Linked DNA regions of Coturnix japonica. The protein of the gene in region 1 purifies or fractionates together with the protein of each later gene. This does not show direct contact. Links are inferred from orthologs where the notes say so. Each region holds a gene or a part of one and is shown in the gene's direction. Other genes may lie near its edges.

The links. Proteins that work in one complex are often made in the same cells at the same time.
Region 2: the proteins of NAA30 (region 1) and NAA38 purify together in Homo sapiens (co-immunoprecipitation; 3 studies listed by BioGRID and IntAct, with this or other methods). This does not show direct contact. The link is inferred for Coturnix japonica from reciprocal best matches to the Homo sapiens genes NAA30 and NAA38.

What each region holds. Positions count from the first base shown.
Region 1 is NC_029520.1:50,473,140-50,476,890, reverse strand, and holds the start of NAA30 (N-alpha-acetyltransferase 30), read left to right. Parts: upstream 1-1,126; 5' UTR 1,127-1,261; exon of another isoform or gene 1,262-1,326; intron 1,327-1,535; 5' UTR 1,536-1,538; coding exon 1,539-2,471; intron 2,472-3,751. UniProt on the Homo sapiens protein: Catalytic subunit of the N-terminal acetyltransferase C (NatC) complex. Catalyzes acetylation of the N-terminal methionine residues of peptides beginning with Met-Leu-Ala and Met-Leu-Gly.
Region 2 is NC_029534.1:46,631-49,889, forward strand, and holds NAA38 (N-alpha-acetyltransferase 38, NatC auxiliary subunit), read left to right. Parts: upstream 1-1,574; 5' UTR 1,575-1,664; coding exon 1,665-1,679; intron 1,680-2,049; coding exon 2,050-2,215; intron 2,216-2,410; coding exon 2,411-2,520; 3' UTR 2,521-2,746; downstream 2,747-3,259.

The sequences.
Region 1 (3,751 bases):
GAAAGTTCACTTTAAAAGCAATTGTCATCATAATAGTTACGAGAAATAAAACAAATTTAAAGGCCAAGTAAGCATTCAGACCAAGAACATAACAGCAGTTTTAGGATACCTTTCATCTCTCTGTTAGCTTTAAGGGGAATCAAAGGCACCAGCTCAGAGCTCAGCTCAGCTGCCCTATCCAAGTCAGATGAATCCTGGCTGCGGACAATGAACTGTTAAGATCAACATCAGATAGATCCTGGCTGTGGACAATGAACTGTTAAGATCAACATCAGAACAAGGAACCTTCCAAGTCTGTAAATGGGACAAAGAGAGCACACACAAGAGGTTTTATTTCCATGGTACTGTAACCTCAGTGCAGACAGTATGTTTTCATGACAAGTTAGATCCTCGTCACCCCATCCCACAGGTTTTGTTGGATCATCTCCCTAACATGGACACCACAGATGCTTTCGCCACTGTAACACGGCAAAGGAGAACTGAATTTCAGGCCATTACTACACTGGCATTTGTTTGCTTTTGCTGTTTAAAATACTTGAGGACAGTGAACCTCACTGCAACGTCTGTGTGCCAGAACAGCTCACATCAGGTCCACGGGGATACTTTGAAGCCTGAAAACACACACATACACACAAAAAAACCACTAAATCTTTAATCTGCAGTTCACCAAGAGAAGACTGAAACTCCACAGCCTGTTTCCTCCCTAATTACAGAACCCTGTTAGGACATGCATAGAAAATGGCTGGATTTCCCTTTTAAACCCGGGCCTGTCACTTCCTTGAGAAATAACTGCAGCAAAAGGAGAACGAATGAACCTTCCAACAGCCCTGCAAGGCTTCCTGGTGAGGAAAAGCCAAAATCCAGCCTTTCTCAGCATTTTTGAGGGGCTTCGTGTGTGTTTTAAACAAAACCTTCCCACTTGGAGGGCTTTTCTGTTGCCGTGAGAATCTCTGGCAGGGCAAAGAGTAAAAGTGAGGGCTGCTGGAATGGGAAATAAGGCAATGAGGATCCAAAAAGGTGCTTTAATTAACAGCCACACAATCACATCTCAGACCGACCCGCCCCCACCATATCGCGGCCTACAACGCCCCGCCCAGACCCTTGGTGAAGCCCGCCCTACAGTCGCTAAGCTCCGTCGCCAAGTGAGGAAGCGTCGTAAAAGCTGACAGGAAACTTGGCTTCGCGTTACGACAGCGGCGGCCGCGCTTGGCGGCCGCTGGATGAGCGGGGAGTGGGAGCCGCGGCGCTGAGGAGACGCGGGGTGAGCGGCCGAGGCGGCGGTGGGTGGGGGGGCTCGGCGGCCGCAAGGGGCCCGTGAGGAACCGGGTAAGGACCCCGGCGGTGGGGGGAGCGGGACGGCAGGAAGAGGCGGCGGTGGGGCGGCGAGGCGGGGCCCGGGCACCGTGTGTGCCTTTGTTCGTGGCCCCCCCACCCCCCCTCGGCCTTGGCTCAGTGTAGGCCGCTGCCTCGGCCTGTTCCCCCCGTCCGGTCTGACGCCTTCTTCCTCGGTGGGTTTGTGTCGGTCTCTCCCGTAGGATATGGCCGAGGTACCGCCGGGGCCTAGCAGCGTCCTCTCCCCGCAGGGGGACACGCTTTCCCCCTTCCCTGGAGGAGGAGGAGGGGGGCCTGCTTCCTCCTCCTCCTGTTCCACCTCCGCCGCCGCCGCCGCCGCCTGCACCGGGGCCCAGGACGAGGAGGCCGAAGAGGAGGAGGAGGAGGAAGAGGAAGAGGAGGGACCCGCGGGCGGACGGGAGCAGCAGCGAGGAGGAAGCAGCGACGGCGGTAAGGGGGGGCCGCAGCAGCAGCAGCACCGCCTCCACCACCACCACCATCACCCCCCACACCACAACCACCAGCTCAACGGCCTCATCAGCCCCGAGCTGCGGCACCTGCGGGCCTCACTCAAGAGCAAGATCCTGGGCTCGGAGGCAGGGGCAGCCCCCGAGGGGCTGGAGAACAAGCGAGCCAGCAAAACAATGGGCTCCGGACAGCAGCAGCAGCAGCAGCCGTCGCCCCCGGCCTCAGCACCGTGCTCGTCCCCCCTTTCCAACCACCTCCCTCCCCAGGGAAGGACTGCACCCTCTCCTCCTCCTTCTCCCGCAGCAGCAGCAGCAATAGGGGACAGGAGCCAGCCTGCTGCCACAACTACGACTGCTGCTAAGACTGCGGCCCGCAATGGGCTGGCAGGAGGGACTGGCTTGGAGGAGGAAGAGCAGGAGGAGGGGGATGAAGGTGGGGAGGAGGAGGAGTCCCTGCTGCTGCTCTCTAGGTCCTTAGCAGCAGGCTGCAGTTTGAAAGGCTCGGGAACGGACTGTCAGCCCGAGGAGGACCTAACGATACGATACGTCCGATATGAATCAGAGCTGCAGATGCCCGATATCATGAGACTGATCACCAAAGATCTGTCTGAACCCTACTCCATTTACACGTATAGGTATTTTATCCACAACTGGCCACAACTTTGCTTTTTGGTAAGTGCTGGTTGGGGGGGGGGGGGGAAGAGGGTAAGAATTGGGAGTGGTTTAAGGCTGGGGTGGAGGCATGATTAAAGAGCTGACATGTGGAAATACTTCTAAAATTCTTTTTATGGCTAAGAGGGAAGGCCAAGAGTTTTGGAAAGTATGTAACACTAATGAATCCTCCTTCTCACCTGAGCCTGTATAAGCAAAGCTTATGTCTGAAGTTCTTACATTCACTAGTATACCTTTCCAATGGTGGGGAAAGGGTTTGAACGCAGGGCTGGGATCCAGGAATTCAAGGCTTCTAATCTTGGTGTTGACGTTGACTTCTGTGACCTTTGGTAGCTCATTTTGTCATTCTGCTTCAGTTCCTAGGTTTGGATTTAAAAAAGAAAGTACTTAGTCCACGGGTGTCTTGTGAGTGCTTAGTAATTCTTGCACAATGGTTCTCAAACTGACTTGAGCATGACTGGTGTATGCATGTTGACGTGGGCACTACTGAAGGTTTTGTAGACTTTTTTGATCTGTTTGCTTACCTTGAGAATTTCAAGTACAATTATATCACTTTTCAGGTTTGGTAGTGTATGCACCATACAGAAATACTCATTTTGTTCAGGTTGTCTTACAGTACTAATGATAAACCTTACTGTTGTATTCTTCCTATTGCGCTGTCACAAAGATTGTTTTAGTTTAGTTTGTTTTTAGTGCTGAATATTTAGAAAGAGAACAGCCAGATCGTTTTGGAACGTGTGTCTCAGCTGACAAGCATGAGAGCAGTCCACACACAGGTATATGAAACTGGCCTGAGGGGTACGTATGCACAAGAAGTGGGCTTAGCTGTGTTTGATTTACTCATTGGAAAGCTGCTCTGTAAAACAGAACGTTTTGGGGAGCATATGGTGCTTCCTCACTCAAGTAAATGATGAATTCTTTTTTTCTTAATGCTTCAATCGAGGCAGGACAACACACTGACAGATATGATTTAGCCAGAGCCAAGATACCCTTTTATTCAGGGGTACCTCTTTAAGATTTTAATTGGATATGAGTACAGGAGGTAAAGCTAATGGAATCCATCTGGCCTTCAACTCACTAAACGTTCTTAGTTTAGGGTCTGGTGTAATTTATAGTGGGATTTATATGATTTATAGGAGAGTTTTCAGAAATGTGCCTCTTACAGTCCTGAAGAGGGAATACAGTAGGATTGATTACAGGAGGTTGACCAGAACGTTACCATCTGGAACAACATAAAAATAAGAAAATATTTGAAAACACTCTTCAATATCTAGTCGTGC
Region 2 (3,259 bases), on another chromosome or scaffold:
ATAGCACCCCATAGGGAACATGAGTTCCTATAGGACTCCACAGGATCCCCGCCCCCCCCTCCCGGGCCCATTGGACCCTACAAGACTCTACGGAATGCCATAGAACTTTGTCTATAGGACCCCATAGGGACAAGGGCAAAGCCCACAGACCACCTTCCCCCCCCCTCCCCCTCCGTGCTATGATGGGACGGATGACGGCAGACAATAGGATCGCGGATGGACAATGGACAGGTGGGACGGGCCGGGCTTTGTCCTTGTCCGTGTCCCCACTCCGGGGCTATTTTTAGGACCCCTCCCCCATGCCCAGCAGCTGCTGCCCTTATATGGCCGCACGGGCTCCCCTCGCATTCCCACCTCTCTGCTTCTTTTCCCCTGTTTCTACTCCCCCCCCCCCCCATTTCCCTGTGTTTTCTTTCATTTCCCACTAATTTACTGGGTTTTCCCTTATTTCCCTGGTTCTTCTCCAAATTTCCTTCCAATTTCACATATTTTCCCCCCTTTCCCTCTAATTTCTTCGTTTTCCCTTATTTCTCCTTAATTTCCCCTATATATATATATTTATTTTCAACCAATTTACCCACTTTTCAGTTATATCCCCAAAGCTTTCCCAACATTACCCTATTTCCCCACTTTTCCCATCTGCTTTTGCTCTCATTTGCTCTTATTTCCCCATTTCCCCTCCAAATTTCCTTTTTTACTTAATTTCCATTTGCCCCCAGATACTCTCCTAATTTACAATAAAAAACCCGTATTCTCCCAAATTTCCACTCATTACCTTATTTCCCCTAATTTTCCCCAATTTTCCCCATTTTTCCCCAAATTTCCCCATTTTCCCCCATTTTCTCCCATTTTCCCCAAATTTCCCCATTTCCCTGTTATTATCTCTAGGTACCCCCCCATTTTACCCTGATTTTCCCTAATTCACCACATTTTCCACGTCTTTCCTCCAAATTTCTTCTACTCGTCCCTTATTTCCCCCAACTTCCCCGTAACTTTCCATCGCTTTCCCCTGAATTTCCCCAGTTTTCACCCAGTCTTTCCCCTTGATCTCACAACTTTTCAGTCCTGGGCCTATTTTGGGGAGAAACAGTTTGAATTTACTACTTTTCACTTCTTTTGAACAAATCATTTTTATAATGCTAAGAAACGGTGTAAAATGAGGAAAGGCAGAAGACAAGAAGAGCGTCAATGATTTATTATGGGAAATGACGAGAAAACTGCAACGGCCGCAGCCGTGACCCCCCCACGGCCTCATCTCTGACCTTGTCGAGCTGCAGAAACGCGGGTTCAACTTTGTAACTTGTCTTGAGAAATAGTGGATGTAAACAGTAGAAATCCCATGTAAGCATAAAACATACATCAGGAATAGAGCTGCTGATTCATCCTGTCATTAATTCTGCCTCTCATTTTAGGCTCCCTAAGCTCTTCCCCGCCCCGTTTACACCCCCACAGCCCCACCTTATGTCCCTCACGTTACAGACTCGGCGGCTTTAGAGACAACCGGGACCCGTTACAACTCCATTTTAGGCTGCCCGTTGCCACGGCAACGCCGCCGTAAAGCAGCGCCGTCCGCACGGCAAGGCCGCAGGAAAGCGTCGCCATCTCCATAACAACGCGGGGCATGCCGGGAGCGCGGCACTTCCGGCGGATAGCGGTGCGGAGCCATGGCGGAACCGGCGGTGAGCGGGAAGGGGGGGAGGGGGGGTCTGTGAGATGGGGGGTCTGTGCAGGTCCTGTATGTGATATCGGAGCTGTGCAGGTCCTGTATGTGATATCGGAGCTGTGCAGGTCCTGTATGTGATCCCAGAGCTGTGCAGGTCCTGTATGTGATATCGGAGCTGTGCAGGTCCTGTATGTGATCCCAGAGCTGTGGCCGTGGCTGTGGCCGTGCTCCAGGGGGCAGCGAGGCACGGAGCGGACACGGGTGTCAGTGTGCAGCCCTGGGAGCTGCCGGGTGCTGTGAGGTGCTGCCGCCGCTCACGGGGTGTCCGGGGTTGTGAAGCGCCTCAGGTGCTGCGGGGCCGTGTCCAACCCCCCCTCCCTGTGCAGCCTCCCGGGGGGTCTCAGCCCCACGCCCGGCGCCTGGCGGCGCTGCTGAACCGCAGCCTGCGGGTCCGCATGTCGGACGGTCGCACCCTGGTGGGAACCTTCCTCTGCACCGACCGTGACGCCAACATCATCCTCGGCTCCGCGCAGGAGTTCCTCAAGGCTGCAGGTACGGGGCCACGGTGGGAAATGGGGCCGCGGGGACGGGGGGACTCGGTGGCTGATGGGGGCGGGGGGGTGATGAAAGGGGGGGCGGTGATAGGGAGGGTGACGGGGATAGCAGGGTGATGGGAACAGGATCTCGGGGAGCGGTGGGGATGGAGACGCGGCAGCGAGACTGACACGGGGCTGCCGTCCTCTGCAGATGCGTTCCCAGGCAGCGAGCCACGTGTGCTGGGCCTGGCCATGGTGCCGGGGCACCACATCGTGTCCATCGAGGTGGAGCGTGATGCCGCCGCTGCTCTGTGCTCCTGATGGCCGCCCTGTGGGATGGACCCCCAAGTGTTGTGCACCTCTTGTGTACCCTAAATCGTGATGGACTCCAGCCATGCAAAATGAGCACCAGAATTGCGATCCCCTCGGACCCAGTAGAGCCCCCACAGTGGTTACGCTGTCACTACGTGATGCTGTCATTCCAGACCCCCACAAAACAGACACAGATGCATTTTTCTTCCCCAAACACTCCGTTTTCAACCTGAAACAGAGTTGTGCGGGTTAATTTAATCTCAGGTACAGAATGTTTCAGTGGGTGATAGGGGCAGAGGGAACACACGGCAGTCCTGGTCCCTCCTAACTGTGGTAATACGCTGCGGCCGAGGGGGATCAGGGAGGAACAGGAACAACGCTGCGCAATGAGCGCCACCTCCAAACGCGAAGCAATTCCTACCATAACGGAGACCGAGCACTTCAGAAGTCATGTAGGTACCTTGCATACAGCTGGGCACCAAACCAAAAGTGGAGCCTTGTGTGGATTTCACCAGCTGGGATTTGGAGACTCCAGGAGCCTGGACTGAGGGTGCTTATAGCTTATAGCAGACTGGGGGCTGGCGGAAATTAAATGTTAAGTTAGAGGGTGTTTGGGAACATCAGGTAATATCAGTAGAGACTGAAGGCAAAGAATTTGAGGAGATAAAAAGGGGAGCAAGAGCCTCTTTTCCATCTCCAAAAGCTGTGTGTCAGAGTATCTCCATCCCAACGGGAAGTGACCCGGGCC